4 linked regions of the Mytilus edulis genome follow. The protein of the gene in region 1 binds, or shares a complex with, the protein of each later gene. Links are inferred from orthologs where the notes say so. Each region holds a gene or a part of one and is shown in the gene's direction. Other genes may lie near its edges. The genes, in order: DNA-directed RNA polymerases I, II, and III subunit RPABC1; general transcription factor IIF subunit 1-like; transcription initiation factor IIA subunit 1-like; ruvB-like 2.

Evidence for each region.
Region 2: DNA-directed RNA polymerases I, II, and III subunit RPABC1 (region 1) and general transcription factor IIF subunit 1-like share a complex: the UniProt entries of both Homo sapiens proteins name them as parts of the TBP-based Pol II pre-initiation complex. The link is inferred for Mytilus edulis from reciprocal best matches to the Homo sapiens genes POLR2E and GTF2F1.
Region 3: DNA-directed RNA polymerases I, II, and III subunit RPABC1 (region 1) and transcription initiation factor IIA subunit 1-like share a complex: the UniProt entries of both Homo sapiens proteins name them as parts of the TBP-based Pol II pre-initiation complex. The link is inferred for Mytilus edulis from reciprocal best matches to the Homo sapiens genes POLR2E and GTF2A1.
Region 4: DNA-directed RNA polymerases I, II, and III subunit RPABC1 (region 1) and ruvB-like 2 share a complex: the UniProt entries of both Homo sapiens proteins name them as parts of the PAQosome complex. The link is inferred for Mytilus edulis from reciprocal best matches to the Homo sapiens genes POLR2E and RUVBL2.

Annotation. Positions count from the first base shown.
Region 1 is NC_092344.1:115,151,529-115,158,495, reverse strand, and holds the start of DNA-directed RNA polymerases I, II, and III subunit RPABC1, read left to right. Parts: upstream 1-3,967; 5' UTR 3,968-4,070; coding exon 4,071-4,127; intron 4,128-5,278; coding exon 5,279-5,367; intron 5,368-6,411; coding exon 6,412-6,473; intron 6,474-6,827; coding exon 6,828-6,967. Other genes in the region: uncharacterized protein, read right to left, coding at 1-155. UniProt on the Homo sapiens protein: DNA-dependent RNA polymerase catalyzes the transcription of DNA into RNA using the four ribonucleoside triphosphates as substrates.
Region 2 is NC_092344.1:32,398,426-32,405,718, reverse strand, and holds the start of general transcription factor IIF subunit 1-like, read left to right. Parts: upstream 1-4,288; 5' UTR 4,289-4,409; coding exon 4,410-4,439; intron 4,440-6,768; coding exon 6,769-6,818; intron 6,819-7,293. Other genes in the region: uncharacterized protein, read right to left, coding at 1-247, 668-824, 2,900-2,974, 3,325-3,359, 4,033-4,099. UniProt on the Homo sapiens protein: TFIIF is a general transcription initiation factor that binds to RNA polymerase II and helps to recruit it to the initiation complex in collaboration with TFIIB. It promotes transcription elongation.
Region 3 is NC_092346.1:68,136,509-68,144,344, forward strand, and holds the start of transcription initiation factor IIA subunit 1-like, read left to right. Parts: upstream 1-4,811; 5' UTR 4,812-4,941; coding exon 4,942-4,962; intron 4,963-7,024; coding exon 7,025-7,126; intron 7,127-7,836. UniProt on the Homo sapiens protein: TFIIA is a component of the transcription machinery of RNA polymerase II and plays an important role in transcriptional activation. TFIIA in a complex with TBP mediates transcriptional activity.
Region 4 is NC_092350.1:44,665,920-44,673,889, forward strand, and holds the start of ruvB-like 2, read left to right. Parts: upstream 1-4,956; 5' UTR 4,957-5,042; coding exon 5,043-5,051; intron 5,052-6,900; coding exon 6,901-6,955; intron 6,956-7,970. UniProt on the Homo sapiens protein: Possesses single-stranded DNA-stimulated ATPase and ATP-dependent DNA helicase (5' to 3') activity; hexamerization is thought to be critical for ATP hydrolysis and adjacent subunits in the ring-like structure contribute to the ATPase activity.

The DNA of each region.
Region 1 (6,967 bases):
GTTTGATCAAGTTGTTTTTCAGTTGGATTTTGCTGTTTAACTGATTGTAGAACTGCATTAAAGTCCTGCGCTGACAGCTGTTGTAACTTCTGTAACACATCATGTGGAATAACTTTTACCAGTTGGTCAATCATATGTTGGTTAAAATTTTCCATCTTGAATGAATGATTGAAACTAGTTCACATTGCATTATATACTAAGGGATGTAAACTTGGATAGGTCAACGTGTATGCCACGTTTACAAGATAATACGTAGGAGGGTAGGGGGGATTAAAAAACATGTCCGTTAATTGTTTTCCCCACCGGATTTTAACGAGGATGTTAAGTACAAGTTAAGAAGATTAAGAGATTAATCCACTTCAGTTAAGAGGATTATAACCAGGATGTTAAGAAGCAGTTAAGAGGATTAGGAGATTAATCCACTTCAGTTAAGAGGATTATAACCCGGATGTTAAGTAGCAGTTAAGAGGATTAAGAGATTAATCTACTTCAGTTAAGAGGATTATAACCAGGATGTTAAGTACCAGTTAAGAGGATTAAGAGATTATAGACCGGATTTAACGTCATAGTTAAGAGGATTAGCTGTGACGTGACTTCCGGTGGCGGGTTGGTGGCGGACTGACCCCATTTCATACTACTTATCTGGTCCTAGGTCCAATGTAGTCCAAATAATTATGCCGTCTAGAAAGGCTATTTTTGATTTTGCTGTTACGCCTGCCTACGTTGAAGGAAGGCGTCGATTTTTTTTTTTTATCAAAAAGTGGTACAAAAACGGCATAATTATTTGGACTAGGTGCAATGGAATTCTATTCAACATGTTATTTACAGCCTCATCCAAGTTGTATAATGTTTCCCTGTACATCAGTAAAATTGTAAGAAATGAAATAAAATGTGGTCACCCAGGAACATAAATATACTGTTCCCAGGGTCACCAAAAATATCTAGAATTAAACTGATTTTTGGGTTTATATGACTGTAGAAAAATAATTTGTGAAGAAAAAAATCATATGGTGGACAGCATTGACTGAAAAGAAAAAAATAACCTAAAACGTGAAATACGTAACTGTATTTATTATTTAACAGTGGCGTAGCTACCGTTGACGCAAAGACGCACTTGCGTGCAAAAGGAAATGGGAAAAAAATCGTAATTAAAAAAATCAGAACAGTCAAAAAAAAGAAAGAGTGCGATTCACTGTAATTATATATAAGCAGGGTTAAAGAACATTATTTAGTCGACCTGTTAGTCAAATGCGTTTTGTTTATATATTTTTTCACTTTTTTGGTCTTTTGGAAAATGTTGTTTGTGCTGTATTTAGACCCTTCTACGACGAAATTTGTTTTACATGCACACGTATAAAAATTGCGGTTTTTATTATCCAACGCAATCATAGGTTTGAACGTAGTTTTCAATTTAGACTTGTATATATATATATTTCCTGTTTGTGTAGTATTGTCAATTTTGATGATCCAATATCTATTAAGTTTACTGGTTGGTAGATTCTTATAGACTCTCTATATAGGTGTTTCAATTTGTCAAAACGGTTTCCGTGTTTTCTATCAGTTCTGTTTTGTTGTGCGTACATCGGTATATACAATTTTAAGCCGACCATCTACTAAACGAACTACGAGATCGTCTTGTCAATTCGGAAGAACGTTTTCTTGCCCAGATGCTTCTTCCAAACAATCTGAAAAGTTTCAATCGGGACCATCAAATTCGCATATTTCGCGCCTATGAGTCAGATCTTCAATGTCCGTTCAGGTCTTTTATTTCCCCGACAAGGTCCGATTTTTGTAACTCAACAATTATTTTTTCGATAAAATTCTATATCATTTCAATGATATATTATACCTTTCCTATTACAAAATTCATATTTATGGAGATTGATTGAAAAGTGTTAATGAACTTGAATAAATCTGACCGCAGATTTTCAAGTCAATTGAGGTTATTTACTTTCCCGTTCAGGTCCGAGTTTTAACACCCTTACCGTGAATATTTTTCGTATTTTTTTTTTAATATTATCATTATATTGAACTTTTAGCTTTACAAAATCTAAAGTTGAAAGAAATTCATTGAATATTAAAAAAGTTAGTGAAGTTAGAATAAGTTCAATCATAGATTTTCAGGTCTTTTCATATCTCCGTTCAGGTATCAAAAATCTGTTTTTTTTTATTTAAAACATTTAATCTTTAAAAAAAACTATGAATATTTAAGTTTAATAAAATTATAACTTGAGGAAATTCCATTGAATAATAAAAAAGTTATTGCATTTTGAATAATTTGAGTCGTACCCTTACGTTTAGTCCAAATAATTATGACGTCTTGAAAGGCTATGATATTTTTTTTCTTTGACGCCTTACGTCAAAAAAATAATATGGGGACGAAGTCCCCAATTACGGTAGAAAAATCAATGAAAAAAAAAAAAAAAAAAAAATCTGGGAAAATTTCCCGAATTTTTCATTGTACTAATGAACTCAAAATCGTTAAGGTGTAACACCACTAATTCAGGCCCGGCCAGAAAGCACATACCAGAAAGTAGTACATATTTAACACAAAATAGTTCCTACGCATGAGTGTAACTTTCAAAATATGTAGAATATTTAGGTATTTTTGGTATCAAATGAAAGCTGAAGGACTGGTGATCATTGTAAAACACTTTTGGACTTTTGATTTTGAATATTAAAAAAAATGCACCAAATTTTAAAAAGAGGGTACATTTTGTCTGTTTGTCAGATCTGAAGTACCTGTTTTGGTACATCCAAAGTTTCGGGAACCAGTTCTTTCTTATATGCAATTAAAGGTATGTTGATTTTTTCAGTACAAGACACCATAAAGGGTTGCTTTGAAATGCAATGATTGCCACTTTATTTGAACTTAAAACAAAAGAGGTGTGCCTACTTGAAACGGAGGAATTTAACATAGAAAGCAATGGGACCATGAATTAGTGGTGTACTTCCTTAACGTTTTTATTCAGATCTAGTTCCTGTTCCGGTTTTCCCGCATTTGCGCAGAAATCTGTCTTGTTTGCATGAGACTTTGATTTTTTTTTATATTTATCAGTCTAGTAAAACATAAGATTGGATCTCAATACAAATTCAATTTTAATAATTGTTTGATATGGAAAAAAAAACGTTACGTTACCTGATGAAAGCGTTTCTTTTGTTTACATCGAATATGACGTCATAACTTAAAGAACGTCACAGCTAATTCCCTAAAAACAGAACCAAAATCGGGAACGTTACGTACGGTATTTCGGTTTCTTTTATCAACATGATTGAATTAAGAAAATAATACATACAGACTTCGTCCCCATTCACAGGTTATGCCTGCCTCATATTATGGGGACGAAGTCCCCAATTACGGTAGAAAAATCAATAAAAAAAAAATTTAAAAAAATCGGGAAAATTTCCCGAATTTTTCATTCTACTAATGAACTCAAAATCGTTAACTTTTTTTTTCAGATCTAGTTCCTGTTCCGGTTTTCCCCGCATTTGCGCAGAAATCTGTCTTGTTTGCATGAGACTTTGAAAAGAAAATTATATGTATCAGTCTAGTAAAATATAAGATTGGAACTCAATACAATTTCATTTTTAATAATTGTTTGATTTGAAAAAAAAAAAACCGTTACCTGATGGAAGCGTTTCTTTTGTTTACATTGAATATGACGTCATAATTTAAACAACGTCACAGCTAAATCCCTAACCACAGAACCGAAATCGGAAACGTTACGGTATTTCCGTTTCCTTTATTAACATGTTTGAGGTAAGAAAATAATACATACAGACTTCGTCCCCATTCACAGGTTATGCCTGCCTCATATTATCAGTCAAAGAAAAAGAATATCATAGCATTTCAAGACGTCACGTTGGACTACCTCACGTTATAAATGCCTTCGGGCCTATTCAGGTCTTTTCAGGTCCACTTTCAGGTCTTTGGTGTAACCCGTAAATTACTTTAACCCGTACTCGGTCTTGTTTTAATCTAGTATGTTACAACTTCCGGTTAATTTTCACATGTTGCAAGTTTATTTCAATTTTAGCTTTCTATAACAACATAAAGAGAAGCTACGAAGATGGATGATGAACAAGAAACATACAAGTTATGGAAAATACGTAAAACAATAATGCAGGTAATGAGAACAACACAATTAGAAATATAAATTAAGTAATAACCATGTTTTGTTCGGTTTGTTTTGTTCATACAAATGTAAAATGAAAACAAGTCTTAGAAGAATCTTATTTTTTTGGTGTTATATTAAGTTCCTTGAAATAAATATAGGCTAGCGCTCGTCACTATAATTATTCAATTATTTCTTGGTGAACCGGGAAAAATACTTCATAAATTAAAGAAATGTCAAAGTACAAGTGATAAATCCAGTTTTAATATTGTCAAAACCTACTATTTTATGTTTACAAAAAAAATTATAATCGCTCGCCTTTACTTTTCAAACTTCGCCTCAAAAATTAGCAAATTAAATATTTTTTTATTAAAATTTTCAAATCGCTCGCTCGCCCCAATTTTTAGAGTCCAAAAATCCATAGAACAAGAAATTAAATTGGTGTGGCCTAAAATCAAATATCATTGAATTTGGATGATAATTTTAAACTGGTTCTTTGTCAGATACTTTGTAACAGGAAAAGGGTATATTCTCCCAACCCAGTCTTACAAATTGGAATCAGCCCTGCACTTTGTATATAACATTTTAAAAGGTACCGTTATGATGATGTTGATGTAACAAGACAGTTTATCACTGGCACAAAACAAATCAACTCCATGTTTAATAGACAGTTCAGCACTGTTGGAGACATTTCAGAACCATGTCAAACATATTTGATAAGTGTTTGAAAAAACATTTCAGAATATTGAAATGAATGCCCTGTTTTGTTACACTATCATTAATCATAATAATCAATATGTTATCAACATGTACATTTTGTAAGACCAGAATACAATATTATGAATGGGTGCCACTTATAAATATTACAAAACAGATCAAATCTGAATTAAAATTGACAATATCTTTCTATATATATGAAAATACAAAAGGATTTAATTTATATGGCATTTCCCTGACCAATACCTCATAATAATTATGAAAGGGGGATTATTGGAATGTCATGGAAGAATAAATGAAATAAACTGTTTAGATAGACCCATGGCACAGTCCAGGCAAGTTTATACAACAGTGTTGGATATGTTCTAACTCTAAGTTTAGTTGTGATATAAAAAAACAACAATAGAGCTTATAGATGTAGTTTTTTATCTACATATTTTTTTCAGTTATGCCATGACCGGGGATATCTTGTAACACAGGATGAATTGGATCAAACATTAGATGAGTTTAAAGGCCAGTTTGGAGACAAGCCAAGGTAAAGAAAAATGTGTTCATAGTTCTCGAATCATCGGATGCCCCACTCGCACTATCATTTTCTGTGTTCAGGTGTGAAATTGGGTTCAATCTTTGATTTGACATTAAACTTAGAAAGATCATTTCATAAGAAACATGTTTACTAAGTTTCACTTTAACCTGCAGCTTGATAGACGGACTCATGGATGTACAGATTAACAGAGACACAGACTGAAAAATATAATGCCCTATGTGGGACATAAAAAAAAACAAACTTGCATTACTGTAAAGACAAACATAAATTTTATGATTTTAAAAAACAAGACAACCTGCAAATGTATTCGATGCATTTATCGGGCAGTTTTAGATAAAAACAAGGAAAACATTTTCATCATAAATAAAATTAGACTTAGTCAGTATATAACTACAATGTAACTTAAAACATGCAATTATGAAAAATAACACAACATATTTACATTTTGAACACTTCACATATTTCTTTCTTTTATCTTTTGAATATGGCGAAATCTTAAATATTCCGAGATTTTGATTATGTATATTATTATATAACAAAAATATATCTGCACATGGTCATTGGGAATATCCCATTTTACCACTTAATGCCAAAGTTTAATGTTCAAATTTTTTTTTTAATTACATGTGCCATACATCAAAGTAATTTTGATTTAGATTCTCTTATTCTTATGGTAGTAGTGGAGTGTGATATGATAAATTTGTGAATTAAATCTTCATAAATAAATCGAGTTGATATTGACTGGTTAAGTGATATCTAATGCTTATTTTTTTGTGCACTTTAATGATATTTTACAGGATTGTAACAATATACTTCAGATAAACTTACACAAACATCTACCTCAAGGGTCTGAAATGGTAATATTTTCCACTCATGACTGATTTAAGTAACAATATGACTGAAAAAATGTAAACAATTGCAGTTAATTTGAAATTTTCTAAGATCTGATATTTAAACTTCTGAGGTTTAGTAACAAGAAATTAGGACAGTTTTGTAAAATGAATGTGTATAATACTTTCTTGTAAATTTCAGTGAGCGTAAACCAGCTAGAAGTGATTTGATTGTTCTTGTGGCACACAATGATGATCCAACAGGTAACAATCTTATTAATAGAATTGATGAAGTAAGAATTTTATATTCATTGAAAGGCTTAGTAGAGATACAGACATCTGCAAAGTAACAATAAAATACGTTGATGTTTAGTTTTCATTTTACTTTGCACATTCAAAAGGTTTCCCTATTTCATAATACCAATTTGTTAAATGTTTTAACAAGTTTTAGCTTTATATATTCATCTCTTTAAATTGGTCTATTTGGAATATTTAAGCTCATTGCTAGTGAAAGGTAGGTAGTATGAAGCAAGTGCAAAGTAACAAAATATTCTTACAATAGTGATGAAAGTTTGCACCCGGTTAAACTCTAATTAATCAATTCCATTTTCACTGTAGATCAGATGTTTGTATTCTTCCCAGAAGAACCAAAAGTTGGTATAAAGACAATTAAGACTTACTGTCAACGTATGCAGGAGGAAAATATTACCAGAGCTATAATTGTTGTACAGATAGGGATGACCCCATCAGCAAAACAG
Region 2 (7,293 bases), about 83 Mb from region 1:
AAGATAGGTGTTTCTAACGGTAAAAATTGTTGGCTTTCCTGATGATCACATGGAGTTTCATTTAACTCTTTATTTGTTTTGGCACTAACTGAATCTGTTTGACTAGCTGACATTGATGTGCTGTCTGAACCTTCATATGATGATAACATGTTTGTACGTTTTCCAGGCATTTGACAAAATGGCATTTCATGTGATATTGCCATTTGAACAGTCACAGATTCATCCGAATTCAATTTCCTCTTCTGTCCTAAAATAACAGAAGAATGTTACAGACAAGAAAATATTGGTGATCAAATTAAAAACAATTGGGAATATGTCATGGGACACAGATGATGTTTCTGCATTTAAAGGGACATAACTCAAGAACAATAAAAGTGCATGAAACAAACTATATAAATTAGTAAGATAACAATATTTTCAGAATCCTAAAGACTATGCAAAATGCAATTTTTGTATAAAAATAAAATTAAGCTATTCATTGAGTATACATTACTTTGTTATGGATACTCGTAAGAAATCACATTGTCTTGGTGTGTGATTTTAATAATAGAATGCCTAAGACTCTGAGAATTTGTTTGTGTTTTGAAATATAGTTTTCATCAATGCCACTGGATGAAAATGGAATAACAAAAATCAGGTTAAAAATAACATAGGTTTAACATACAACCTGTTGTATAGCCTCTCTCTACCCATGGAATTTGCTTTACTTTGGGATCAAGCTTCCTCAACTTCCATACAAATGCTTTGTATTGTCTTTGTAAGTGATCAATTTTCAGATTAAATTCTTTAATTTTTGCTTCAGGGTAACATGGTACTTGTGATTGCTGAAATAATGAAATAATCAATGTATATTTTCCATTTCTTTTAAATTTAAATACATCTGAGTAAAAAATTGGAAAGTCATTTTATTGACTAATTTAACAATTCTTAATTAATCCAAAAAATAATACTCAGAAAAATAACACATCCTAAAGTTTCTCTCTCTCTCTCCTTCATTTAAATTTGTAATTGTTATATCAAAGGAAGATGTAGTTAAAAGGTAATATTTTTATAATGCAGGAATGTGAAACTGAAAGTCGTCAAAACACAGTAATATAAACAAACTATGAAAAAATAAGTTGAAAGCCATTTTTTTAAATGAAAGAAGGAAAATATTTAACTTCATTAAAAACCCATGAAACTTTTCTAAGTTAAGTATGTTATTATAAATCACTTTAGTATGTTATTAAATCAGTTTGTTTTCTTTTTCTCTTTCATCAATATTGATAGTTGTTTTTAACCCTTTCAACGCTATACACGGCATATGCCGCGATGACATACGCCGTTCGCCACTGCTATTCGCGGCATATGCCGCGATGACAACGGATTTTTCATAAGGACTCTTAAACCATTCGGTTTTCATTCGGGTTCTCTCTAATTTTTCCTTGTATGAATCGAGGATATGCAAGGTCTCATTTGCGCTTGAAATCCCGACAATTTTTATTGTAAAATCATGCAGTAGAAGGAAAATTGAAGGAAAATAAAAACAAATATTTTGACAAATGCAAATGGCGGAAATCGGAAACGAAGCTGTAAATATGGAAATATTTCAGCATTTCTATGGCGAAACTGATGACGAGGATTAGTTAAAAGGTTTCTTGTTATCTCAATGTGTTTATTACATTCAATTCGTGTGGGAAATATGATTTGATCGATCATTACGAGACGTAGAAAAAGGGGGGAAAACGGAGGTTGACTGAAAATTTTGAGGACGGAGCCACTGATTTGTGCCATGATTACATAATACGTTGTGTATGGTGCAATACGCTACGGAATCGAGCAATTGGTGTCTTCTTTATTATATGGCAGATAAAAAAACAAAATAGATGAAGACGAAAAGTAGTTTTTATTCAAAATTCAACACAAATGTAACAAATTACACCTTTTACCTGTTAATTACCTGAAAATGCAGATAACCTGATAAAAATTTTACTGAAATAACTGCCTAACATTACAGTTCATACTCTCCTGTGCATTTTTCATGCAATAACTTTTTCTGTATCTCTTATAATAAAAAAGATACAGCAGTCTGAAAAGGAATATACTGTTCTAATGAATGAACACAAAAAAAATGCAGCAGCAGCAGCCATTTTTCTATTTTTTTGTGTAGCGTTGAAAGGGTTAAATTAAGGGAACAGCAAATATTTGCCATCATCTAGAGCACTTCCATCCAAAAGAATTGCTGTATTGCTCCTATAATAATAGAAATAATGCATAAGGACTTGAATTTAAACTGATTTTACTACTGGTTGACATTTACTGTTGATATTTTACCCCTCCATATCACTTTTTGTAAAATATTCAGATAAATATGCTAAATATTTTACAGGGAGGGATACAATTTTGGCATACAGGGTTAACCTGTGGTAATATCAGTATAAATTCAAGAACCTATGAACCACTTCTTTAATATACACATACTACACAAAAATGTACAAGTTCTTGCATGTTAAAATCTATTTACTTACTAACTAAGTGAACAATTTCTTATGTACCGGTATACAGTTTTTTTCATATCAATATCATAATTACACGTAAAATAAATGTTCATGTGGTTATCTCAAGTAAGATGTTGCTTTATTTTATGAAACGTTTTTGTTTGTTTGGCAACTTAGTGTTGAAAGCTAGTTTTTATAGCTACTTTTGTTTCCTTTACAAATTTTCTTTTTTTCCTGGGACTTTAACTAATACATATATTGTATAGACACATATCTATTGTTAAAGACTGGATATATTTTGAACACATTTATTTTGAGTGTTATTGGGGTGCTGCGGCACTGCTGACTCACTGATATAAAATAAAATTTGAAAACTACACATAGAAACAAAATTGAAACTGTGACAAAGTAAAAGAAACTACCTTCAAACAAAAGTCAATATCATCTTTAATACTTGGTATCCAGTATCTGATGTCTTCAGCTGTATTGATTTCATCCTGTTATAATAAGAAGTAGATTTCCTTTATTGATAAATACAGATTCTCTTTTAAAGGAAAAAGAAGCAGGAATAGGTATATAATTCCCTTATTCACCTGGAAACATAATACATCATGTTGAACATACTTAATTAAAATTTCATTTTCATAAATTAAGAACAAGAATCCATCTCCCTAAGGCACAGTTGACCGTAAGTATTCACTCATTCCTGGCTTTCAAATGTTTGTTTGAACATTCCTGATTCATGAACATAAATTCTAAAAATAGCTTCAAAGACACAGAATTTATCAAGTGTTGATTTAATTTGTTAAACACAATGAATATAACAAAAAAAAACCTAACAACATACCAATCTAGGTCTTTTGGGATTTTTCTTCTGCTGTTCTGAAATATAAATTAAATCAAATGAATCAAAGACCCAAATGGCAAGGTGGTGCAGACATTTTAAACATATAATACAGGGCTGCCAAGTCTCACGCATGTTCATGCTTTTTTGGCTGCATTTTCCTTTGAACTATTGTTTTTTCTCTTTGATCTTTTCAATTTTGGTCATTAAATCTCACGCATTTGCTTCATGAAAAGTTGGCAGAACTGTATATATAGTTTCTTTAAACAAAAAGAAGAATATCTAAAATGTGTCACTCAGTAATGAATAACCATGGACTTTCTATACTTAGTACAGAAAGTGCCTGGAATAACCAGAAGAATTTTAATATGTTATATAATCATGATAATAGAAAATTAATAAAAGATAATAACAGTTTAAATTCATCACTTTTACTAGTACTTTCACAGCTTTCACAGATCTGCAAGTAATGTGACTTGTATACATAAGTATAATATAAAACAATTCATTACTTTTACAAGTACTTTCACTGCTTTCACAGATCTTCAGGTGTATATAACTATAAGAAATATAATCAGAGACATATATACACATATATGTCTCTGATATAAATATAGAACAATTTTATATTTTACTATGCCTGGCCCTTTTTATATAACTTGTTAAAAATTGTTATTTGACTGCAACTTAAGTTGATATTAAAGTCAGTACCATCTTTTTGTTGCTTCAACAATAACCTATTTAACCTCCCAAGTTGTTTCTCCTCATTTCTGGCCATTCTTGTGTTATTTTCTCTTTTTGGTCAATGATAATTTTCTTGCTTTAATTGTTTTCGTATTTTAAAAAGTCATTGCAACTGAAGTGTCTTGATAGCTGTTTACTTCTTTTAATAGATAAAAGTGATCCTTTATCAGCCTTTTCTCTTTTCCTTTGAAATAACTCTTCACGAACTGTCCATTTGAGAATAATATAAATCCGAAAACATTACTATAAAAACGGCGTTGAAAATTTTACCGAAAACTTATAATTTTTTTATTTTTTTATTTTACGAGTTAGAAAATAGCCTATATAACTAAAACCACATTTTGATGGCAACGCCAATCAGTCAGCCACAGGTGGTAAGATTAATTTGACACATTATATAAGATGATACAATACAAGTCCTCACATCAGCTATCAAACACTTTATCGAGGATTTGTATAGTATACAAATCCTTGACTTTATCATGAAATTACCAGATTACCACATCCATGACATCGGAAAATATCAGTACAAGTACAAAGGCAAATACAACTTTAGGCTTTATACGACTGAATCTTGGTAAATGTCAAACGAATAATATGAGGCAGGCATTACCTGTAAATGGGGACGAAGTCTATGAATTATTATTTTAATTCAAATATGTTGATAAAAGAAACGGAAATACCGTAATGTTTTCGATTTTGGTTCAGTTGTTAGGGATTTAAGTGTGACGTTATTTAAGTTATGACGTCATATTCAATGTAAACAAAAGAAACGCTTTCATCAGGTAACGTTTTTTTCATATAAAATGATAAAACGATTATTAAAAATGAATAGGGCTCTTCACGGTTAGTTCGGCCATATTGGATAGGGGGCAGATTTTCATAATAGAGGTAAAAATGGTGTGAAAAATACGGGAAAACATCATTAAAACAGAGCTGTTGCTTGGAAACACACATAGGATTTCCCACACTTTCATACCATTTCCACCTCCTTCTAAAAAATCTGCCCCCTATCCAATATGGCCGAACTAACCGTGAAGAGCCCTATTGGTATTTGAGTTCCAATCCTTTATTTTACTTTACTGATAAATATATATTTTAGTCAAAGTCTCATGCATACAAGACTGGAAAAAGGAAATAAATTTCTGCGCAAATGCGGGGATTTAAAAAAGTCTGAAAAAAATTTAACGATTTTGAGTTCATTAGTAAATGTAGTATATACTAAAAAATTCGGGAAATTTTCTCGAATTTTTTTTTTTTTCTTCTTTTTTTTATTGATTTTTCTACCGTAATAGGGGACTTCGTCCTACATGTAATATAAAGCGTTAGATATATATGACCAACACTAGAATATGCTAGCAATGTCTGGGACCCACATCTCCAAAAACACATACAACAATACATCTTATCACTATTTGTCCGCCATTCTCTGGTATAGAAAATCCTATCTTCGAAGGAGTACTTTAATTTGCACAATGACAAATAGAAATGGTTATAAACATAAAAAGACATATGAGGTATGCCTTGTGGGATGAGTGTTGGTTACTGTTAAAGACCCTTACGCTTTTTTGATCATACAAGTTTGTAGTCTGTGTAGAGCAAAGCAAAGCTTCCTCATTATGTATTTTATAGTGTAGCAAGCATCAGTACATTTACACTTGCAACCACAGTCACAGATAAAGCTACTTGGATCCAATATAAAGTTAGTGTCTAGGGTGACGTACTATGGGTACATTTCATGCACACATCAATACTACATATTATGCAGATAAGGTGCACAGATTTCATGCAGAACTGGACATTCCATAAGAAAATAATCTATTGTTTCTGGCCTACCCTAGCACAATAGGCATGTTGGATCTACTGTGTTACTGGACATCGCAATAGTTCCCGTAAAGTTTTGACGTCACAATAGAAAATATCTGACAGATCAATGGAAATGTGTTTGCTGTAATGACGTCAACAGTTCAAGCAGGATTAGCCATAAGATGTATGTCAATGCAACTAGAAATGATCCAAAGGCAAAGGAGAGCAGCCAGATTCATCAGCATGAGTATACTCGAGACCCATATATTAGAGGACCTTATAAAACTACCACAACTACATAAGGGACGATAAACATCATGTTTACTCCCTTTTCACAAAATAATCCACCAATTTATTGCAATCCCAATTCCAGAATGCTTGATGACACCAGCAAGAATGACACCTCTGCTCCATCAAAGAGAATTTGTCAGATTAGGATCATGTTCTGAAAAAAAGAAAGCATAGGTTCTTCGTAAGAACCATCACAAACTGTAATGAACTACCACCTAGCCTATTAGTCAAGACCAAACTCATATCACACAGATCTGTAAATCAGCACACACATGTTTTTATCTGCACTGGCACATGTATATATATGTTAAACACCTGAACATGCTGAACATATGATTTTAAAAGAGCACTTTTTGATGACACAACTTTAATTTTAACTTAATTATGTGTATGATGAGTCAACTGACTGTTTACGTATTACCCATGTAGATGTAGATGTAGACATCAGAATATATAATCTTCTGACTAGTGACTAGTGTTTTTCCCAAAAGAAAAAATGTTCATTCAGCAAGCATTGTATTTTAAAGTTTACTCACACACATATATACAGATTATATGAATCAATTATACTTCTGTAATCTCATGATACTTTTGTTACTTTTATAGGCTGCAGCTTCTGGCAGTGCCACACAAGAACACAGTGTAAGAGTTCTCAAGTAAGTTGTTTATGCTAGAGGAACCAAAAATTTTGTTACTAACTTGGGACAATATAACTCATGGAGTACCAATTTTTATGGATTTTGTTGGGATTGATGAACCACAAAGTTAAGTGCTCAAATAATCTTTTCTCCATCCAAGAAAATTGGTATATTGTAGATTCAAAAATTAATTCAATCCAGTTATATTTCTATCTTAGTATATAAAATGCATTGGACAAAAATCATCTAGTCCATTTGATGCAACAGCATGAACAGGATTGTTAAAGTAACCTGTTCTGATCAAACCAAATATTAAAAATCATATGCATTTTCTGTTCTTTGTCGGGGTTGTTGTTGCCTTGACAAATTCCCTCCATTTCCATTTTCAATCTTGTTGGATTTCACTAGCAAATTGCTTCTTATATATATATCATGTATATATTGGTTAGATTTAGTGACCTCCAGTGAAATATATTGAAATGATCAACCTTAA
Region 3 (7,836 bases), on another chromosome or scaffold:
ATACAATGTATCCTCATATCTCACAGATGGACGACTTCAAAAATGCATTGTGACTGATTACTTCAATTTTGTAGTTGTCAACTACCCATTCCTCAGCAGTTATATACCTTCTTCTCCATCGGATGACAATTTTCATATCTTAGTTTAAACGTTACGCTTTTTAATTTTCACACAATTCAGACTAAGCTGAGCTCTTTACAAAAAAAAAAAAACTCGGCTCCAACAGAGTTACGAGAATGAACGATTAAAACCAAAACTAAATTAATTTTACACTCACTATCAATAATTGGTTGACAGATACAATGTGTCGGAGTCTTAACTCAACAGTGACATGTTTTCGCGGTCTTTGTTGTCTTATATCTTGTCAGCGGCAGTAGAGTCCTCTTAACTTCTGAAATTCAGTACCAAGTATGTCATTTTGACTTAATGAATTCGCATGGCGGTGACGAATAAAAGGCAGGAAACGCTGGCCTGTCGGCACACTAGACACGCTCCTCAAGTTTGGAGGTTATTCAATTTACCCCCCCCCCCCCCCCCCCCACCCCCCCCCCCCCCGCCTTTGTTTGTTACATTAATTTGTCTCTTTTAAAGGATTTACATTATTTGAAAAGCAAAATAAATTACTATAATCAATTTTCAATTTTTGTGATGATGTTTTAAGAAAAATGGTATAATGGTAAATAAGATAATAATTCAACATTCATAAGTCGAAATGAAGCGGATTTAAGACGAATTAAGGTAGTATCATACAACGAGAAATCAATATTTATATGTCTTATTACTGAAATTGTCCAGTTTCTTAAATACAAAAAAAAAATATCGAATTTCAGTATTATTTGTATAGTTTAAATCATGATTTTAAACCAATTATACATTTTGCTAGATATAGGCCTATTGTCAACTACTTTTTTCAATTAAATAAAATTTTCAATTTAAAAAAAACAAACTAAATTTGAAACTTTTCTATTGATGCATTAAGAAATGATTACGAAAGCAGGGTTTCAATTCCCTGGGGGCAAAGCTGATCTAGCTAAAGTACATTTCTTTGGGTGTTATTTTTTGGTCCTTTAATTTTTGGACATATCTGATCTTTTATATCCTTCAGACCGTAGTCAGAGACATATATACACTGTGTATATGTTACAGTGAATTTGTATAATCAGTGATTATGTAGAATCCCTGAAATTTTCCTGAAATTTTCAGGGATTATGTAGAATCACTGCCTAGTTTAGGGATTATATATAATAACTAAAATTTTCAGGGATTATGAATAATCACTAGAAAAAACGTCAGGGATTCTACATAATAACTGAAATGAAGAAATTAATAGTTTTATTTATAAAGAAAATGAATGAAATTGAAATTATTTATTCTATAAAATCACATAAAAACATCATTATAAAGTAACATAAATTGTAAAATGTTAAGCACAATATATCAAAATGATAACCCAATTTTTAGCTCACCTGGCCCGAAGGGCCAAGTGAGCTTTTCTCATCACTTGGCGTCCGTCGTCCGTCGTCGTCGTCCGTCGTCGTCGTCGTCCGTCGTTAACTTTTACAAAAATCTTCTCCTCTGAAACTACTGGACCAAATTAAACCAAACTTGGCCACAATCATCATTGGGGTATCTAGTTTAAAAATTGTGTCCGGTGACCCGCCCAACCAACCAAGATGGCCGCCATGGCTAAAAATAGAACATAGGGGTAAAATGCAGTTTTTGGCTTATAACTCAAAAACCAAAGCATTTAGGGCAAATCTGACATGGGGTAAAATTGTTTATCAGGTCAAGATCTATTTGCCCTGAAATTTTGAGATGAATCGGACAACCCGTTGATAGGTTGCTGCCCCTGAATTGGTAATTTTGAGAAAATTTTGCTGTTTTTGGTTATTATCTTGAATATTATTATAGATAGAGATAAACTGTGAACAACAAAAATGTTCAACAAAGTAAGATCTACAAATAAGTCAACATGACCAAAATGGTCTGTTGACCCCTTTAGAAGTTATTGCCCTTTATAGTCAATTTTTAACCATTTTTCGTAAATCTTAATTATCTTTTACAAAAATCTTCTCCTCTGAAACTACTGGACCAAATTAAACCAAACTTAGCCACAATCATCATTGGGGTATCTAGTTTAAAAATTGTGCCCGGTGATCCGGCCAACCAACCAAGATGGCCGCCATGGCTAAAAATAGAACATAGTGGTAAAATGCAGTTTTTGGCTTATCACTCAAAAACCGAAGCATTTAGGGCAAATCTGACATGGGGTAAAATTGTTTATCAGGTCAAGATCTATCTGCCCTGAAATTTTGAGATGAATCGGACAACTCGTTGATAGGTTGCTGCCCCTGAATTGGTAATTTTAAGGAAATTTTGCTGTTTTTGATTATTATCTTGAATATTATTATAGATAGAGATAAACTGTAAACAGCAAAAATGTTCAGCTAAGTAAGATCTACAAATAAGTCAACATGACCAAAATGGTCTGTTGACCCCTTTAGGAGTTATTGCCCTTTATAGTCAATTTTTAACCATTTTTCGTAAATCTTAGTTATCTTTTACAAAAATCTTCTTCTCTGAAACTACTGGACCAAATTAAACCAAACTTGGCCACAATCATCATTGGGGTATCTAGTTTAAAAATTGTGTCCGGTGACCCGGCCAACCAATCAAGATGGCCGCCATGGCTAAAAATAGAACATAGGGGTAAAATGCAGTTTTTGGCTTATCACTCAAAAACCAAAGCATTTAGAGCAAATCTGACATGTGGTAGAATTGCTTATCAGGTCAAGATCTATCTGCAACAACAAAAGAAAGAGAGTTTTTAACGACCTCAGCTGGCTATACAACCCTTGCACAATCAACTGAATTTTGCAGAAATCATTAATAGGATAGATTGCCCTTATATGATAATTTTTTATTACCTTTTTGGTTTTTTTGGCAAAGTGGGGGGGGGGGGGGGGGGGGGGGGGGTGTTGCGCAACAACAAAACTACTTCACAACTTTCTCATTACTTTGCATTTCTTGTTAGATAAATTTTACAAAAATTCTCCCCTGAAACAACTGTTGAATTTAAACAAACTTGGTTTAAATCACCACTAGGATATCCAGGGACCACTGTGTATGATGACCCTGCCTGCCCACATGGCTGAAATTAAACATAGGTTTCAAATGCACTTTTTAGTATTATATCTCTGAAACTAAACGACAGTACAACAGTTGCATTTATCATGCAACAATTGTAAATAAAAATATCAGGTGAGCGACACAGGGTCCTTGGACCCTCTAGTTTTTAAATGTTAGGCACACTACATGAAAATGTGAAAAACAATATATAAAAATAATATGCTTCACATCTGTTATTACCACAATATCCACATTTTAGGAAACCTTTTCCTGCACATATCGAATCAGATTTTAACGACACGCCTAAGTGAAATTAAGTGTTTAGTAAAACATCTGAAGGTTACCACAAGAAAAGATAGGAATTTGCAACCTTGAACCGGTACGAGCAAGAAAGATACCATGTTTTGTAGTCAGGTGCTACCTTTTTCAGATTTTTTTTAAAACAATTGTCATTATGTTTTTCGGGTTTCCTTTTCCTTTTTTACCATGTGGAATTGCTATGAGAATATTACACCAAATGCAAGCTTCCTCTAAAATTTGTTTCTATGTGTCAATCCTAAGTTCTGCCTGTTTTCCCTACATTTAGATGCCTAAGTTCTCACAGTTTGAATGTCTTGTTCATTTAAACAAAAACAAAAACACACAAAACAGATGTTCCATAACCTTCTTCACCATTTGCTTTACATGTATCACAAATAACATGCTTTGTGGTTTAAAAATAGAGCATAAATAAGGCCGTTAGTTTTCTCGTTTGGATTGTTTTACATTGTCATTTCGGGGCCTTTTATAGCTGACTATGCGGTATATGGGCTTTGCTCATTGTTGAATCCGTACGGTGACCTATAGATGTTAATTTCTGTGTCATGTTGGTCTCTTGTTGACAGTTGTCTCATTGGCAATAACACCACATCTTCTTTTTTTTACCTGAATATTCATTTGACGCTGGCTTTTAATAAACAAACAATACATGTAAAGCTATTGCTATAAAGGGAATGTTGATATTATTAATTTTGAAGTCTTCAACTTTATCTCGAAACCCTGTCACGGTTGATTATATCTTTTAGATCAATCTCTGTGTTTAAAAGCAAAATTATTTCATCTGGCAAGGTCTATATTATTTTTTTTTATCAAACAAAGGATAATTAAATTATTCATAATCCCTGAAATCATATTAGGGAATTTGTAGAATAATTATTAAAAAGTTCAGTGATTATGTAAAATCACTGGTCATTTTCAGGGATTATATATATAATTACTAATGGTTTTAGTGATTCTACATATTCCCTGAAAAATCAGGGATTCTACATAATCCCTGATTATACAAAATCACTGTAACATATATATGTCTCTGTCGTAGCAAGGATTTGTATAGTCTCACTATACAAATCCTTGGCCGTAGTATACAATCCAAACAATCGGGTTGCTTCTGAATTTAAACACAGATAAACAAACAGGCATTTCAAATAGGCATATGTAACACTTATAAAAAAATATATAAAAATGCTAGACGACATATCGATTTCCAATGGGACAGTAATTCTGTGCATTTCGATATTTTAATTTAACATATGCAATCTTTTCTTGTAATCATTTCGTATTTCCCGCGTCAAGTTATCCTCGAAATATATCGCGAGACAATCAATCAGCTGGCAGGTGCTTGTGACGTCAACAGTAGCAGCGCCCTCTAGACATACGGGATTTAATACCAGCTATATAAGCGCAGCAGTGGCAGTCGACTTCGGCTTTCTTACAGCCCACAAGTCAGAGGAATATATGACTCGTTTTCCTCGGACATAAACAAACCATTAAATAATGGCTACACCTAACCAGGTGGTGAGTTTCAAAAGAAAATGATTGTTATGTTAAAATATTTGTTGTCTAAAATGTCAATACCGTTCATAAAAAAAATCATATATCGAAAACAATGGAATCCATCTTGATTTGTAAACTGATATAATCAACCACCGAACAACAGGTGGACCTGAATGAAAATTTGAATGTACTTGTGGAAAACCATAAAGCATCCAACATTTTAATTGCTATATCAGAAATACCACTAAAATGCTCATTACAAGTTGTATTTCATGTATTGTACACAATATTTTGCATCTTTTAAACCCCCCTTTTTCATGTTAGTTTAAGGTTCATGTGGACCCTATGGCTAAAATGGCCGTATTTTCACCTCAAAATTTACTCTGAGTACAGGCAAACCTGTGCATCTGGAAAAGTTTTAAGGCATAGCATGCCCTAGATAAATAGAATTCAAATGTATTGTATGATTTAGAAAATTCATAACTGAACTGGATTTTGCCGTACACTTTTTTTCGTCCCTGCAGAAGATGATAAAATTAACAAACAGTTGGGTTTACCTTGATATGGTCCACTCAGGTACACAGTTTAAATAACCAATTATTGTCAGGTATCTATTGTCCATCTCATGTCCATGTCTAGCAATACAGCTCACTTCAATTATTACCTGTGGGGAAGTTCTCAAACCTGTTTCCCAACTTAGTTTATTTTGGCACCTTCTGGAGGAATGAAAAAAAGTGCACGGCAAAATCCTGGTAAGTTTTTATTTTTCTAAAACATAAAACATATTTGAAATTTATTTATCTAGGGCATGCTATGCCTGAAATTTTTTACAGATGCGCAGGTTTGTCTGTACTCAGAGTAAATATTGAGGTGAAAATACGGCCATTTTAGCCATAGGGTCCACATGAACCTTAATAGAAGTCTTATACATGGATATAAATGAATATTAAAACAAATGTATAAATGTCATAAATGCGTTTGTCAAACTTTGTATTTGCCCTTATATTTTGTGAGCTTGATCTGCTTTATTTTGTCATTACGTAAAAAATGCTTTTTTTTACAATATGATATCTGAGGGTAGTAATGAGGGGGGATAGGAGGGATCCTGATCCCTAAATCCCGGGCTTAAAAACATGAAATCCCGAAATCAGGGGCTTAAAAACATGAAATTCTGAGGTCCTGAAATTCAAAAAAAAGAATTCCAGATCCCGAAAGGTTCAATCCTGAAATCCCGAGCTTAAAAACACCCCATTCCGGAGTCCCGATAATGGTCCTATCCCCCCTCAGTAATGCCCTTTATCATCGGTTAAAATTCTACCTTGATTTGTTAAAAAATATCCTTATCATGACTTGCAGAGTATCATCATTTTTCGGAAAAAATTAACGCGATTCATTAAACAATTTTAAATATCGTCTGAAAGAATAACATTTAATGGTCATGCATAAAAAATTACCTTTAACGTTATATGACAAGAATTTTCCCGTTATTCTAATATCATATGGCAAGAATTTTAGCTGTTACTCGTCCATTACAAGCCTCATATCTGGGTGTTCATTTCCTATTCTGGTAATACTTTAGTTTCTTTAAAAATGTCCTGTATCAATATTTCTTCGAGTAAACAGGTATTTGATAAAAATGAATAAGTAGATATATTATGCTGCCCTGTGAATTCTGTATGAGGCAGCTGCACTTGACTCTTATGATAAGAGTCTTATCTTAGTTGACTATTATTGTCAGTTTTCCTACTAAAGGTTGGGGGTTCTCTCTGGGCGCTTCTGCTTCCTCCACCAATAAAAACTGACAGGAACAAAAAAGCATAGTAGTGTTAAAGGTGGAGCTAAACACAAATCAATAAATCTCTATAAACTAAGAGAATGATATTTACATCATACATACAGGGTGTTTATACTTAAATCGTAAAAATCATTTTATATGATTGTCATGTAAGTTGTAACTGTAGATGCTTTGTTAAAGAAAAGCAGAAATTGTGCTATAAATTTGTACTAGAAACAATACCAATCAAAACAATGTTGAAAAGGTTGAAATGATAGATGTTAAATGTTTTCTGTTTTCTAATTGTAGCCGAGATTATACAAGTCAGTTGTTGATGATGTGATAGCTAACGTAAGAGAAGCCTTTCTAGATGAAGGAGTTGATGAGCAAGTCCTACAAGAACTTAAACAGGTGACATTATTAGTCATAATAGAACTTAATTATCATTAAAATTTTTTTATGAAATTAAAACTTTTAAGAGTTGTCTAAACTCACAGTAGAAGTAGAGGTTTTCATGTAATAATTTTGAGTTAAAGTTGAATGTATTATACAATAACTTAATTTAGAATATAACGCGTCTTCTGATTGGCTGACGTTATTTTGTTATCATAGACATAATTTAGTCATGTGACCGTGACGTCATCAACGTTTTTTCATGGTTTTCTACGGTTTAAAATGGAATTTAAAATTAAATTATAAGAAATGACTAATATTTTTTCTGTCTATTCGAAATAAAATAAAAAATGTGGTGCACACTGTAAAAATAACCTGCTACGCGCGTTATTCAGTGTGCACCAAATTTTTTATGTTATTTCTTCATAGACAGAAAAAATATTACAGTCATTCCTTAATTGTGTAAAACCTAAGAAATTTTGTTAGTTCCAGTATATCAAGGAAAATGATTTAATAATTTGTAACTTTTCTTGGTGTCATACATTTACATGTTAGTTCACTATGTTCACCAATTGAAAACAATGATCCATTAACAGGAACCAGTTTTATTTGGGTTGTTTTAACATTTTTTAAAAACATGTGTTGGCTTACACTTAAAATTATATCCCACTTTTGATTATTATTTATATATGTGTATAACACCAAATAACTGTTTTCCAAAGGACAAC
Region 4 (7,970 bases), on another chromosome or scaffold:
AATATTATAATTTCATCAGTCTTGTATTATGCACAGCTTTATTTTGCTGCTAAATGAGTATTTCCAAAACAATAGTTAAGAATTTTTGCCAGTTTATGTTCAAAGTAAATAGTGTGACCCGAGGCAGGACAGGTTGAAAATGTTTGCAATTTTCTGTTGAGTATTCCTTGGTCATCAAGACTGCCTTTTTCAATGTGTGATAAAAGTAAACAAAAAAGTATGAAAATACTTGTGTATAAATTGTAATAAGTAAACATTGATAGAGGTGTACTTCAATTTTATTACAGTCTTTCAGAGAGATTTTATTTCATATTTGCTTATAGTTTGGTGCTGTTTTTGAAATAGAATGTTCATAATTTTATTTATCTGAATGAATTAAAGGTTAAATCTGAGTGATTGACAGGAGCGAATGTTGTCTAAAGCTTGATACTGAACTAGAAAAAATATTGTATTATATGCTTTCGTACCTTTTTGTGAATATTAAATCCTAAGCTCCTAATTTGATAATACCACACTGTGGAGAGGTTAAAAAACCCTATATATGTCTACAAGAGAGAGACCAGATTTATTAAATAAAGGCAGAATTTTGTAATCTCCTTTAATTGTTTCAATGTTTCATCAAATTTCCTTGCTTAATCACTTCTAAAAATCTAAAAATTAAACAATTGATTAAATAATTTTTTTTAGAAGTTATGAGTTATCTCCCATTTTGACATTCAAAAGTCCAAATATATAGAAATCAGATTGATATAGAATTTATACAAATAAATATTTTTGCAAATTTGAAATTGAATTGTTAGTGAGTCATTTCATTATTAGTCCAAACAGTTTATTTATTTTGCAATTGTCAAGTTTGACTATAAATGTACTATATATAAATTTTGTATGCATTAGATTTTGCACTAAAAGTGAAACAAATTTATTTTATTAGATGTAAAATGAGTGTTGTATACATTCTAAACAGTTTGATGCCTCATTTGCTAGATTGTATATGTTCATTATGCTAAAACTTTAATGTCTTGGTGTAATGTTTTATGGTTAAATGTGCTGTTCACATTTAAAATTGAGCCATTTAGATATGTCAATTTAATACTGTTGGCTGTTTGTATATAGACTTTGCCTAAATTGATATAGATCTTTGTTCTTTGATCAGCACTGGGTTTTTTTTTTACTTTACATATCAGAAGTCATAATTTGCTTGAAATTTTGGCTTGAAACTACAAGCAAATTTTTCTGTTTTTAAAATTGATAAAAAATTCACTTGATTTAGGCTCAGTGTGTGCTTTCTACCTGAAATCTCAGGAAAGATACCTACCAGGTCAATCATTCATCATTATATAAACTTGTAATTTGGCTTGATTCAAAACACTTGGCTATTTCATGTTGAATACTGTAAAAGTTTTGTTTTTTTTGTGTTGTATTTGATCTTTGTTGTTTTGTGGCTACAAATACATTAACCATTGTACCTATATAATATATATCATTAAAAATAAATTAGTGTTGTAATGTTTAAAAACCATGAAATAATAAACCTGTGAACATGCTGAGAGAATTCAAAACCAAAAAAATTACCATGTTTTAAAGTTTTTTGATTTGAATCTTGGGTATATGAGTATTTGGAGTATGAGGTTTTTAAACAAAAAAATTTATGTCTGTTAATTGATATGCCTATGTATGGATGATTCAAAGTTGTAAATGAATGATTCAAATTTATAATTGAATTCATGATTCAAGTTTGTAAATAAATGATTCAAATTCGTAAATGAATGATTCAAATTTAAAAAATGAAATTCTTGATATATTTTATATTTATAATTTATTATTTTGTTATTTATATTTATTATTATATTATTTTGTATGTACACAATAATGGATACATCATGCAGTGCTTTTGATTCATTTTAGCACATTAAAGAAATTCTGCAAAACTTTGTTTTTTTATATGAAAAAGGAATTTCTTTGCCTTTTTAGCATTTTAAGTTTAATTTGAGGAAATTACTTATTATAAGTATTTGGTAAACAGGAAGTTGATGAGTGAGGGATGTAAAGAGCATTACACATAAAAGGTTGATTCCATATTTCTGAAAGCCTTGACTGTCACAAAAAATGTATTCATGTTCATAATATGTCTAAATACATTTGTACAAGTATTTGGTAAACAGGAAGTTGATGAGTGAGGGATGTAAAGAGCATTACACATAAAAGGTTGATTCCATATTTCTGAAAGCCTTGACTGTCACAAAAAATGTATTCATGTTCATAATATGTCTAAATACAAGTAATCAGTAAATTGTGGTATATGAGTGATGAATCTGAAAGTGCATCACACAGTCAAGCATGCCGATGTGGAGCTTGATATCAAATTTCAGAAGCTCAAAATTTAAGTTCCTGAGAAAAATTTGATCAAAATGTTATTAAACTATGGACATATGTTAACCAGTACACCCATTTCTTTTGTAGCAGGTGTAAAATATAAATTATATAGTCACCCTAAAAAGAGTACAAGTATGAATAGATGAATATATTTTAATAAATCAGTTATTGTTTTTGAAAAACCTATCCTTTCTCAATTTTAACAAAAACAAAAACAAAGCAAGAATTTCTGAATTTACATTATATCAGAAACATTTGTGGAAAACATACATCAATGAGACAGCAACCCAACAGTGTATGTTAATCAATATTTTAAATTGATGCCAAAAGTCCTTCATACAGTCATCATTCTCTACATGAAAGAAAACCATAACAAAAACTTGATAACACCGCTACATTGACAACTACACTTAAGTAAACTGCATATTTTAATGACAATAAATGTTGTTATCAATGTAGCAGTATTTTATTTTTTGCTCACCTGGCCAAAAGGGCCAAGTGGGCTTTTCACTTGGCATCCGTCATCGTCTGTCATTAACTTTTTTCACAAATCTTCTCTGAAACTACAGGACCAAAGGAGTAGGGGCAAAAATTACTGCAAATTTTAAAAATTTCATACATATTCTTAAATAACTTAAAACTTTACTAAGGTTCAAGTTATCCAGAAAAACAAAACAAGTTTGACATTGAATGAGTTACCATGGCAACAAATTATGACATAATTTGCAAATTTTGTAAAATTTTCATGGTTTTCCTTGTTTTTCATCAAATTTTAAGTATATGTTAGATTTAAAAAGTATGTGCACACCCAAGAAACAACTTTATATTTGGGGAGATTATATCAACAGTTATAATAATGCTTCTGTTAAATTATTTTGTTGTTTCTTGGCTGAGCACGCTGTTTCCACAACAGAAATAATGATAGAAAACTGCATAAATTCTGGATTTTTCACCATTATTGTGGAAACAGTACATATTTTGACGTAATTGTGATGTCATCAGTTAAAAATCTTTGTTTTTCATTTATATTTTTTTATCCTATGCATTTCTAAACATTATGTGCCAATTTGAAAAAGATATCAAACATTTTATTTTCTTGGGCTAAAACCAGGCATTAATGCCCCTACTCCTTTAAGTAAAACTTGGCCACAATAATCATTGGGGTATCTATTTTAAAAAGAGTTCTGATGACCCAGCCAACTAACCAAGATGGCCACCATGGCTAAAAATAGAACATAGGGGTAAAATGTAGATTTTGGCTTATATCTCTGAAACCAAAGCATTTAGATCAAATCTGAAATGGGGTTTATCAGGTCAACATTTGTCTACCCTCAAATTTTCAGACAAATCTGAAACTTAACGGTTGCATTATTTCATGCATCAATTGTAAATAAAAATATCAGGTGAACGACATGATATCATATGATATCCATTTAAAGGAACTATAAACACAAAACATAGGAGGCATTAGTTCAGCAGCTCTTTATTTCTTTATTTATTAAAAAGTAAAGAATAACAGAGTATTCAGGTCATAGCCATGATGCAGAATAAAGATTCAGAAGCTAAGTATTAATTACTCCTTAAAATTAATGTTGGACATTATAAAAAAAAACCTCAGTAAAGTTTTGAATTTATCATTTTAATTGTGTATCTATTATGTCTGATCAGAGATGAGAGGTTATGTCATACCTGTAGGAATTGGTAAAAACTGATGACCAAACATACATATCTGTTAACTAAAGATTTGTTAATGAATTTAGCTCCTAATCATAACCAAATTGCACTAGTTCTGTCTTTTGCAGGATTTTGAGATTTCATCACAATACAAACCAAAAGCCTTCCTATTCCAAAAATTTCCCAGTTCATTGAGGCATAAATATATATATATTAAAATCACTTGAAAGGTCAACAACAACAATTCAAGATAACAGGAAAATATTAAGAAAAAAAATAGGAAGTGTAAGAAATGCATGTCATTTCTTGTATATTTGTATTAATTTTGCCCCACTGATAAACATGAAAAAAATAATTCAGATTTAAAGAAAACTAAAAAATACTGATATATTAAAAAGAAAGGGGGGGGTGCTTAAAAAAATGTTCTATTCCCAAGTACCTTAGCAAAAACTTAAAACAGTGGGCTGACCTTTTCAGTCATTAGATCTGTTTTTAACACTTATTTGGCTGAACAATTACTGAGAATATAGTTTCTATTTTATTTATCATATTTTTTCTCAGTTTTTTTTAAAGTTAGCAAAAATTGCAACAATATAAGACAGAATTAAGCCTAGTCAATTTCTTGAAATGGTAATAAACTTTACTTTGCATCCTAAAAACCTTGTCATGAATTTGAACAACAACATGCAGGAACCTTTTTTTTTTCTTCAAGTCAATAAAATTTATTAATTTTAATTTTCAAAACAATTTTTAATTTTAAAAGAGAATCAATCATATTATATTTCAAACCACATGCACATGTTTCTGTAAAAATCGCTTAATACCTTTTTATAACAGATATAAAGTTAACAATAATTAGAGACATGTGCCTGTGGGAAACCATAGAGATTGTGACACTGTTTTGTGTTTCACGTTTTTACATGTCCGTTTCCAGAATATTCTTGTCGACTCAGAAGATTATTGTACTTAGATAGAGGGCGCTACAAACACCGGCAATGGCAGTCGTAAGTCGCATTTTCTTCTTTTTCGTGATAAATCAACTCCTTTAGACTGTAATCAAAACATGATTATTCAAAGAAAGCATTATGAAACTTCAAAGCTAGACTCCTAGACATATATTGACCTCTAAAGTTTATTTGGGTTCCCAATCTGTGAGGTGACGGCCCCCACGTGTTTGTTGTCAACAAAAACAAAAAGCGAAAAGTGAAAGAAAACAAATATAATTTGCACAAGTAGTTACCTGTTACTTGATGAGAGGCAATTTCGAAGATAACTTAAAACAAATGTCTTATAGGATATCTGTCATCCAAAATTGCGAACTAAATTTCAGATGAACTTTCCAACAAAATATAAAAAAATAAAAATTTTCAGAAATTTAAAAATGCATCAATTCCATTAGCTGCGGAACCGTAGCTCTTAGGTCCTTATACTATTTTTTGACTATTTGCAGACCATAGAGCTTATGATTATAAACAATACATTTTTGGGAAATAAGTGCGACCTGAACCTGGGTCGCAATTCCGAACATTTTGAAATAGGAAAAATCCGTAGCTCTATGGTCCACAAATAGTCAAAAAATAGCATAAGGACCGCAGCTGCAATTCCATCATTAGTAAAACTGTCTAATATTAATTATAGTACAAAAACAGTTCTGACGGTACACCTACACAAATAGTGTTAATGATTTAGTCTGAATATGTACCAGCATGAACAATACTCATAATCATGATAATCGCTATACATGTATATAGGTATCAAGTCCATTTGTCCTGATTACATGTTCGCCTTGAATTTGTTCTGCATGTTTTGATTAAAAAAATGTTATTTCACGGTTATTAAAGTTTAATAGGTTTACTCAGATAATTATTTGGTATAAATACTCAAAATTCATGAAAATACATGGAAAGATTTTAAAGTCAGTCTGCACCAAAAACTTTTTCAACTACTAGTCCGAAGACCAATATTCTGACATTTTTCTTATTGGACCAAACAAAGTTTTGCAAAAACTTACTAGTCCGAACCAAATTTTACTAGTCTGGGGCATCGGACTAGTGGCTAACCGTGCAGACTGTTAAAGTTACTGGCTTGTTTTAGAGCAATTTATTGTTTATGGTAATATTAATTCTCATTGATTGTTGTAATAATTACAATACTCATAAAAGTCTTTAATGGAAAAATAATAAAACAACATTTTGTTTTGATAAACTACAGTCAGCATGGAATGATTAAAAAAAACCAATCGTTTACGAATTGTAAAACATGAATAGGATTCATAAGTTCATTGATTTATTACGACTGATGACTAGACTAATTAGAATTGCAAAAATAGTTATGAATAAAATAAATCTGACATACTCTGTTCAAATAATGAACATTTTTTAATTACATGAATTAAACAACAATCCCCAAAAAATAAAAAAAATTAGGGCGAATGGACGCTGGGCGAACAGACCCAGATTCACACTATTCCTCATGATAGACCAGTTCTGGGATATGGTAGTTAGTTGAATCTGTCATATGACTTCCATCACCAAGTGATTAAGATGTAGGCATCATAATTTCAAACAAACGAAAAAGACACAGTACCTCTAAATTGAATAAATTCAAAATATAAAAAATGCTTTGTAAAAAAAATCTTAATTAGTTCCAACTTATTTTTAATAAACTTTAAACTTCTACTGATTCTGTAATCTGCATAGGGATAGATTGATAGATATTCAATTTAATAATAATAAATTGCCTCAAAAACCTTAAACATGTTAAAGAATCTCTTTTTTACTTTATTCTGAAAATTTGAATAACACAAGGCAAGATAAGAAGATATATGTGCATAATATGTTTTGTTTGTTACAGCCATCAGCAGAAACCGTTAAAGAAGTGAGAGAGGTGACAAGGATTGAAAGAATAGGTAAACTTTGTTAACACTTTCCTCTATGGAGATTTTAATTTTACATATAGATCATGCAGCAGTCAGCTTAATTTAGTTTTAACCCTTTCAACGCTATACACGGCATATGCCGCGATGACATACATCGTCCGCCACTGCTATTCGCAGCATATGCCGCGATGACAACGGATTTTTCATAAGGACTCTTAAACCATTCGGTTTTCATTCGGGTCCTCTCTAATTTTTCCTTGTATGAATCGAGGATATGCAAGGTCTCATTGATCTTGAAATCCCGGCAATTTTTATTGTAAAATCATGCAGTAGAAGGAAAATTGAAAGAAAATAAAAACAAATATTTTGACAAATGCAAATGGCAGAAATCGGAAACGAAGCTGTAAATATGGAAATATTTCAGCATTTCTATGGCGAAACTGATGACGAGGATTAGTTAAAAGGTTTCTTGTTATCTCAATGTGTTTATTACATTCAATTCATGTGGGAAATATGATTTGATCGATCATTACGAGACGTAGAAAAAGGGGGGAAAACGGAGGTTGACTGAAAATTTTGAGGACAGAGCCACTGATTTGTGCCATGATTACATAATACGTTGTGTATGGTGCAATACGCTACGGAATTGAGCAATTGGTGTCTTCTTTATTATATGGCAGATAAAAAAAAAATAGATGAAGACAAAAAGTAGTTTTTATTCAAAATTCAACACAAATGTAACAAATTACACCTTTTACCTGTTAATTACCTGAAAATGCAGGTAACCTGATAAAAATTTTACTGAAATAACTGCCTAGCATTACAGTTCATACTCTCCTGAGCATTTTTCATGCAATAACTTTTTCTGTATCTCTTACAATAAAAAAGATACAGCAGTCTGAAAAGGAATATACTGTTCTAATGAATGAACACAAAAAAAAATGCAGCAGCAGCAGCCATTTTTCTATTTTTTTGTGTAGCGTTGAAAGGGTTAAAAAGAATTAAAAGAATTTATATTGTTCAATTTTTCATTGAATAAATTATT